Linked DNA regions of Cricetulus griseus. The protein of the gene in region 1 binds, or shares a complex with, the protein of each later gene. Links are inferred from orthologs where the notes say so. Each region holds a gene or a part of one and is shown on either strand. Other genes may lie near its edges.

Region 1 (3,807 bases):
ACTGCCCAGTCTCCGTTACATGTCCTGTAGCTCCACTGTCTCCTTGCTCAGGATTCTGCATGACTCTGAAATCACCAGAAATCTTCCTTGCATCTCCACCTTCAGATCTCTGGCCTCAAGCTTCTGGGGAGGTCATAGACAGGACTGGGGCCCCTTGGCATGTATCTCCTGGCAGCACACTGGGCGCTCACTCACTGTGCCTCTCCCCATTGCTTTTCCCTCTAGATGAACTGGCTGTCTGCCCCAAAGGGATTACCTCTAAGGTTTTTCGCTTCAACGTGTCCTCAGTGGAGAAAAATGGAACTAATCTGTTCCGGGCAGAGTTCCGGGTCTTGCGGGTGCCCAACCCCAGCTCCAAGCGCACTGAGCAGAGAATTGAGCTCTTCCAGGTACCTCTTCCAGCTGGAAACCACATACCGGAAGCCAGTTCCTGGCCTCCACTGAGCGTGGGGTCTGACAGACCTGGTCTGAAGCTGACCCCTCAGAGCCTCTGTCATTAAGAGTGCTGAGTTACCTGAGGTGCACAAAGGGCATGGTGTTCAGAAAGCTTTAGTCACCCCCTGCTTGGCTCACCAGTCCTGTGCAGTATAACCTATTCCTGGTATTCTGGCCTGGTCTTAGACATTCATTCTTTCCTCTGCCTCACAGATACTTCGACCAGATGAGCACATTGCCAAGCAGCGCTATATTGGTGGCAAGAATCTGCCCACAAGGGGCACTGCTGAGTGGCTGTCGTTTGATGTCACTGACACTGTCCGTGAGTGGCTGTTGCGGAGAGGTAGGTAAACTCCTAGCAGGAACATTTCAGAAGGAACCTCAGGTCCCTTTTGCCCCGTGAAAGGGAAGAGGAGAGGACTAGTGGAGCCATATAACTGGATTCAAAGTCTAGCTTTGCTAGTGGCTCTGTTCTCTACTTCATCATTAAATGCTGGCTCTAAGTCAGGCCCTCTAAGTTCAGCAGTGAACAAGACAGGTGAGAGCTCAGATCCCATGGGGCTTTCATTCTGGTGGCAGACATTCTGGTGGCAGTGAACATATTGAGAAAGTGGCATGTCAGTCTGTGATAACGCACTGAAAACTAAAGAATCAAGGGGATGATGGCTGGGTGCTCCAACACTGCTGCTTCGAGGAGGTCTCCATGGGGAAGGGAGTCTGATATTGTGATCCAAGTGATGAGAAGGAGCTAGCCCTTTAAGGTCAGGAGGCCAGGCTAAAGGGGGACTTAAGCAAAAGACGCAGTGGGGCCCAGGCCCCTGGCTGGAACCTAGCTTGATTTGTTGTAGCAGCTGTGAACAGACTGAAAAGCCGTGAGCCAAGGCCATCTGGCTAAGTATGTATCAGACCACAGGAAGGTTTGGGGCTTACTCCGAGTGTGATGAATGCTATTAGCAAGGTGTGCATTTGGGTGCAATGATGTGGCTTACCCCTTTAAACAGAAGCCCTCCAGTTTCTGGGAAGTAAAGGGGAAAGGCCAGGAAGACATTTAGGGAGCATTGTAGCAGCCTAGAGGAGGGTGGCAGGGGCTTGGACAGAGGCATCGAAGTGAATATGGAAATCACACGGATTCATTCTGCAATTTGGAGGTTGAGCCAATAGGCTAGTATTAGGTATGCTGTGTGAAGACACAGGAGCACTCTCAGATGACATCTAAGGCTTTAGGCAGGACATCCAGGAGGTATCACCGGCTGTTGGAAGAAGGGAGAGTGGAAGAAGAAACTCAGGGCAGGTTCTGTGTAGACCAATTGAGTTTCAAAAGCCCAGTGTCATTGAACTCTACAACAGGTATATCAAATGTCACATGTCCCAGATGTCATCCCCACATACCTTGACTCCTCATCTGGAAATTGAAGTACTGCTTCCAGCCTGCAGGCTTCCCAGAGCGGTCTTAAGGGTCATGTGTATTTGAGGGAACTTTGAGGGTTTCAATGCATCTTGTAAGAATAAGTTTTCATTATGTCAGATAAGGAAGCTGAGGTACGGAGTGATCAAGTTCTTCGACTAAGCTTATCCAGCCTGGATTAGAACTTTTGTCCCCCGAGTGATGATAGTCTGGTGTCTCCTGACACCATGTTGGTACTTCCTGCTCTGACAGCTTTGTGGTGGTGGTTGAGGTGGTGGGGATGGTTGTGGTTGTTGTTGGTGGTGGTGGTGGTTGGAGGAGGAGGTGTTAATGGAGGTGGGGGTGGTTGTGGTGAAGGTATTGGAGGTGGCAGTAGGAGGGTTACATATAGGGTCCCATCTGTTCTTCCTGGTCCCCACCATCATCAGCTGTGATACTGTTACTCCATTTACATACTGGCAGCCAGAGTCCTGGGGCAGGAGAACCCTTCCATGTCCTTGATGTTTGAGGAAAGTATGGTTGAAGGCAGAGGTCACAAGCTGCCTGCCTTTACATTTTTGCAGGGTTTTTGCTGTTTTAAAATTTGGGAGATTTCACGGAAAGCTGGGCTAGGTGTGGTGGCACATGCCTTTAAGCCCAGCACTCTGGAAGCAGAAGCAGACAGATCTCTGAGTTCGAGGCCAGCCTGGTCTACATAATTAGTTCCAGGACAGTCAGGGCTGTATATATAGAGAGAAAAAAAACAAGCAAACAAAAGCAAACAACAACGACAAAACCCAACCCAACAAAGATTGCTGACTTCTTGAGACTAATTGGAAGCTTGGCCCCTGACCCTGTACCAGAGCTGAGCAGTAGTCACCCTTTGAAATGTGCTGTGCACACTGTTTCTAACCCGTGCCTCGGTGCTCCCTGTGGGTGAGGCTCCAACGGGACTTTCCTACTTCCATAATCCACTGTACTCTTAGGCATCCAAGTCTTCAAGCTCCCATCCATGGACCTTGAGGGACAACAACAGAGTTGACACATGGTGGGCTGGAGACCCTTCCCAGGCCCATTTAGGAGGATAACACCTGTGAAAATCAACAGGACTCAGCCAATGGTGGCAGCAACACACCTCTGATTCAGGCAGCTCTCCACTCAGAACTTACCATGGGCCAGGAAAAAAGGGGGGGGGCAAGGGGGAATTCATCTTAGTTTGCCTGTCTGGTTTTGATCAGCTCCACCTGGATCTTCCTGAAGCCCTGGGCACTTGGAATGCCTGTGTCCACAGCTGTGGAACTCAATGAGAAGTTTGTGTAGAACATGCTTTCCATCCTCCTTGAGACATCAGAAAAGATAATTTTATAATAAACCCCACCACTGCCAACTCTGAGGTTTGTTTTTCTCTGGAACCTTCAGTTCACACGTAGGCAAATTCTGCCACCCCTCCCTTCCCTCAGGGGAAGTAGCTGAGGCCTTTGTTCACAAGCCTCCTCAAGAGTTCATGGCCTCAAACCAGGCTGCAAACAGACTCCAAGTTGGAGCAGCTGATGGTGTGGATTGATGAAGCCTGAGTCACACCTGTAGTCTGGGAGTCACTCAGGAAGCATCTGCAAGCCGGTGTGCTCCAGGTACCCAGGCTGAGGCCCAGGGCTGCCTGGAGCTCTCTCCAGGACAGGGGGAATCAGGTCCTTCCACCAGTGTGCCATGACTCATATGGCCCACAGTTTATCGGCATACAGAGCCAGGCTGGCAGGATGTACCCAGTGTCAGGCTGGCATGGTAAGGAAGCACAGGCATTTTGCCTCTCAGTGAATGGAGGATCATTGTATCTACAGTGCCTTTTGTTGTTTGTTCTTTGGCCATGACAACTAGGTGTGTAGTATCTCAGCTGGGAATGGTGGCACAAACAGTAATTCCAGCACTAGACTGAGGCAGGAGGATCAACCACTTCCAGGCTGGTCTGGTCTGTATAGTGAGCCCTAGTT
Region 2 (4,375 bases), on another chromosome or scaffold:
TGGGTTTGGAACAGTCTCTGGGCATTTAGCAGGTAGGTGGTTCAGTGGGGACAGTGGGATGTCAATGGAGACAGGCTGGGGGCAGGGACAAAACTAAGCTGGCTGGTTATAGAAGTTGCACTATTTGCCAGGGAGGGCTAGAGTGCCTATGGTGAGAATCTGGGAATGACCAGATGGAAATGTGCATTTGCATATGACCCCTAAGGACACATTTTGTGGAAGGACAAGAGTTGCTGAAAGGCCCATGTTCAAATCCCAGCTCCCTCCATACTGTCTGGGTGACCCTGAGGACTCCCTCACCCTCTCCCACCTGAACTAAAATATGTAATAAAAATATGTAATTATATCGGATCACCCCTATACTGGGTGATCTGACAGGGTCACCAGTCTGAAAGTCCTGGTATATGAAGTAGGTGCTGGGAATGACAAGTTAATTTTAGGGTAAGGACTGGAGTGTTGATGTGACTTAGTGGTCACTCAGTTAAATTGTCATCAGATAATGCTGGTTGGGTCCTGGTATTCCTTTCTCCTGCTCATTCTCCTCCTACTACCTGGCCCCATGATGGACCGCAGGCCACCAGAAGTGGCTACTGATGTGGGGGGTAGGTAGTAGCTGTGGAAAGCATTGTGTCCAGAGCTCACCCCACATCATAAGAGGAATGAGATCAAAGAGGGTGAACCAAATCAAAGCAGCTGGCAGGAAAACCTGCCAGTTTCCCTGTTGCAAGCATGTTTTCCTGATGAAGCTCCTAGCCTGATGCTGTGACTTTATCTGGGATGTGTCAAGGACCTAGAAGTGGACCTCGAAGCTGTGGCCATGGGTCACTTGGCTCTGGGTTACTCTAAGTGTAGCATGGCTTTGTTTCCCATATAACAGGACAATAATCAGCACATATTTATTCTTAGAGCTGTCTACTAATTCTCTGTCTACTGCCTCCCTCCTGTCCAGCACCCACCAGACTGCCAGAGGAAGAGTCAGAGAGAAGCCAGGGGTCATCAGCTCAGTGGAGAAAAAGCTCTAGCATCCTGGGAGTCTGTGGGGAAGCCCCCTGTCTTAGTTAAGGTTTCTGTTGCTGTGAAGAGACACTATGACCATGGCAACTCTTATGAGGGAAAACATTTCATTGGGGTGGCTTACAGTTCAGAGGTTTAGTCCATTATCATCATGGGAGGAAGCATGGCAGCATGAAGGTATACGTGGTGCTGGAGAAGGAGCTGAGAGTTTTTATACCTTAACTCAAAGGCAACAGGAAGTGGTCTGAGACACTGGGCATGGCTTGAGCATATGAGACCTCAAAACCCTCCTCCACAGTGACATACTTCCTCCAACAAGGCCACACACCCTAAGTACCACTCCCTATATACTTATGGGGGCCAATTACATTCCCCATCTCTCTTTCCTAGAGAATCCTGTCCTGTTCTACCCACATGCCCCTACTAATGCCAGCTTCTTGCCACCCTTGCTCTCCCTAGGTGAACAAGGAAGCCTTGTGCCAGGGCCTTGGTCTCCTTCAGGTCCCTTCAGTGCTCTCATTGGACATCCGGGCTCTCTACTTGTCTGGGAACAGGCTGCAGAGCATCCTGGCCTCTCCCTTGCGCTTTTATGCAGCTCTTCGTCACCTGGACTTAAGTGTCAATGAGATAAGCTTCCTCCAGCCAGGAGTCTTCCAGGCCCTGCCCCACCTGGAACACCTCAACCTAGCCCACAACCGGCTCGCCATGGGCATGGCACTGAACAGTGGAGGTTTAGGCCGCCTGCCCCTTGTGACCTCCCTGGACCTGTCTGGGAACAGCCTATATGGTAGCCTGGTGGAGCAGCTGTTGGGTGAGGCCCCGAGCCTGCACACCCTTTCACTGGCAGAGAACAGCCTCACTCGCCTGGCACGCCACACCTTCTGGGGCATGCCAGCCCTAGAGCAGTTGGACCTCCACAGCAACATCCTGATGGACATTGAGGATGGCGCCTTCGAGGCCCTGCCCCAGCTGACCCACCTCAATCTCTCCAGGAACTCCCTTACCTGCATCTCGGACTTCAGCCTCCAGCAGCTGCAGGTACTTGACCTGAGCTGCAACAGCATTGAGGCCTTCCAGACGGCCCCGGAACCCCAAGCCCAGTTCCAGCTGACATGGCTAGACCTAAGGGAGAACAAGCTGCTCCAATTCCCGGACCTAGCCGCATTCCCAAGACTCATCTACCTGAACATATCCAACAACCTCATTCAGCTCCCTGCAGGGTTGCCCCAGGACAGTGAGGACCTCCATGCACCCTCTGAGGGCTGGTCAGCCTCTCTACTGTCCAACCCCAACCGGAATGCCAGCGCCAATCCCCTCTCCCAGCTCCTGAACCTGGATTTGAGTTACAATGAGATTGAGCTGGTCCCTGCCAGCTTTCTGGAACATCTGACCTCCCTGCGCTTCCTCAACCTCAGCAGAAACTGCCTGCGATCCTTTGAGGCCCGACATGTGGGCTCCCTGCCCTGCCTAGTGCTTTTGGACTTGAGCCACAATGTGCTGGAAGCATTGGAACTGGGCACCAAAGTCCTGGGGTCCCTGAAGACATTGCTTCTGCAGGACAATGCCCTGCAAGAACTGCCACCCTATACCTTTGCCAGCCTGGCCAGCCTGCAGAGGCTCAACCTACGGGGAAACCAGGTCAGTCCCTGTGGAGGACGAGTAGAACCAGGTCCCCCAGGCTGTGTGGACTTCTCTGGGATCCCCACCCTTCATGTTCTGAACATGGCAGGGAACTCAATGGAGATGCTCAGGGCAGGCAGCTTTCTCCACACCCCACTTACGGAGCTGGACCTCTCTGACAATCCTGGTTTGGATGTGGCCACAGGAGCCTTGGTGGGCCTGGAGGCATCCTTGGAGGTACTGAAACTTCAAGGCAATGGACTGACTGTCTTGAAGGTGGACTTGCCATGCTTCCGCCGTCTCAAGCTCCTTAACCTTTCTGAGAACCGCCTCAGCCACCTGCCTGCCTGGACACAGGCTGTATCCCTGGAGGTGCTGGATCTGCGGAACAACAGCTTCAGCCTCTTGCCAGGCAATGCCATGGGTGGCCTGGAGACCAGCCTCCGGCGCCTGTATTTGCAGGGCAACCCACTCAGCTGCTGCGGCAACGGCTGGCTGGCAGCTCAGTTACACCAGGGCCGAGTGGACGTGGATGCTACTCAGGACCTAGTCTGCCGCTTCAGCTCCCAAGAGGAGGTGTCCCTGAGCCACGTGCGTCCAGAGGATTGTGAGAAGGGGGGGCTCAAGGACATCAACCTCATCCTCATCCTCACCTTCACAGTGGCCTCTGCCATCATCCTCACCACACTGGCCACCTGCTGCTTCCTCCGCAGGCAGAAGTTCAGCCAACAATACAAAGCCTAGGAGATCCTCTTCCCACTCAGTGTGGAAGCCAGAGGGGCAGAGAAGCTGAGGTCTGACTCAGGTTACACAGTGACCAGGGCCTCAGCTTCCTGCATCCTGCAACATGGACAGGTAGTTGCTTCCTAGGTTGCAGATGTGGTCCAGCTGTGGAGCCCAAGGTGGTGCAGTTTTCAGAGGATACCAACAGGTCTCCACTGAGCATCCCTTTCAGGCCTTACCTTTCTCTGGGCACTAGTGAATGAAGCACGTGCCTATCCTCCGAGACCGTGACCATGAAGTGTGATGGGACTGAGGTGGGGGAGGCCCTGGGCCCCCAGACCTGCAGTCCCCAGCTGGTCATGGAAGAGTCAACCCTGGCTGGCTGTGTTTGTGCAAGAGAGAGCAGAGCCCAAGAGATGATTTGTCTAAACCGTTTCCACACAGAGCTCTGTCACATCTGCTGATAATGACTCTCAGCCTCTCTGGAAATGAAGAACTTGTGACCGGAAGAGAGAGCCAGAACCTCCCCCAAAGGCCTTGAATCTGGGCTCCTAGGCCAGATTCTCAAGTTCCAGCTGAACCAGCTTAAAGTGTGGTCACCTGGACTTCCAGCCAGGCCCAGGGTGGTCTGTGTCCTGCCCTGGACAGGCCCTTCACCCCAGTGTACTCTCCTGTTACACACAATGACCCCAGTGCTGCCTGGATTCCCAGTCCCCAGCTCAGGCCTCCTTCCATCCCAGCCCCGCCCTGGCTTTTGAGCCAAGATGGAGAGCCTCGGCTATCTGGTTCTGTTTTGCACTCAGCTTAGCAGCTGCAGAGGCAAATCCAAGCCAACTCTCAGAGGTTTCTATGTTATCTGCATTATACACAAGAAGAAAACAAGGTTCCTTTAAGAGCCTCATGGCTGAGAGAGATGCCAAAGCCAAAGATGAATCAAACCCATGTCCTCTGATGTACAGGACCTAAACCTTGCCAGTGGGTGCAGTGCCTGCAGGCTGTCAAGTGGACAAGAAGCAGC

Evidence for each region.
Region 2: the proteins of Tgfb3 (region 1) and transforming growth factor beta activator LRRC32 are in contact, whole or in part, in a cryo-EM structure (PDB 8VSB), measured with the Homo sapiens proteins. The link is inferred for Cricetulus griseus from reciprocal best matches to the Homo sapiens genes TGFB3 and LRRC32. Residues at the interface, in NP_001316868.1 of Homo sapiens: Leu24, Ser25, Thr26, Cys27, Thr28, Leu30, Pro347, Pro349, Tyr350, Leu351, Arg352, Thr357, His358, Val361, Leu364, Leu368, Ser375; in NP_001122394.1 of Homo sapiens: Ala110, Ser135, Tyr137, Ser160, Val184, Met186, Asp187, Ile188, Asp190, Phe193, Leu202, Leu204, Arg206, Asn207, Ser208, Thr210, Cys211, Ile212, Ser213, Asp214, Phe215, Ser216, Leu217, Cys227, Asn228, Ser229, Lys254.

The regions. Positions count from the first base shown.
Region 1 is NC_048598.1:117,735,651-117,739,457, forward strand, and holds part of Tgfb3 (transforming growth factor beta-3 proprotein), read left to right. Parts: intron 1-225; coding exon 226-389; intron 390-648; coding exon 649-778; intron 779-3,807. UniProt on the Homo sapiens protein: Transforming growth factor beta-3 proprotein: Precursor of the Latency-associated peptide (LAP) and Transforming growth factor beta-3 (TGF-beta-3) chains, which constitute the regulatory and active subunit of TGF-beta-3, respectively.
Region 2 is NC_048596.1:101,068,670-101,073,044, reverse strand, and holds the start of transforming growth factor beta activator LRRC32, read left to right. Parts: upstream 1-1,479; 5' UTR 1,480-1,719; coding exon 1,720-3,378; 3' UTR 3,379-4,375.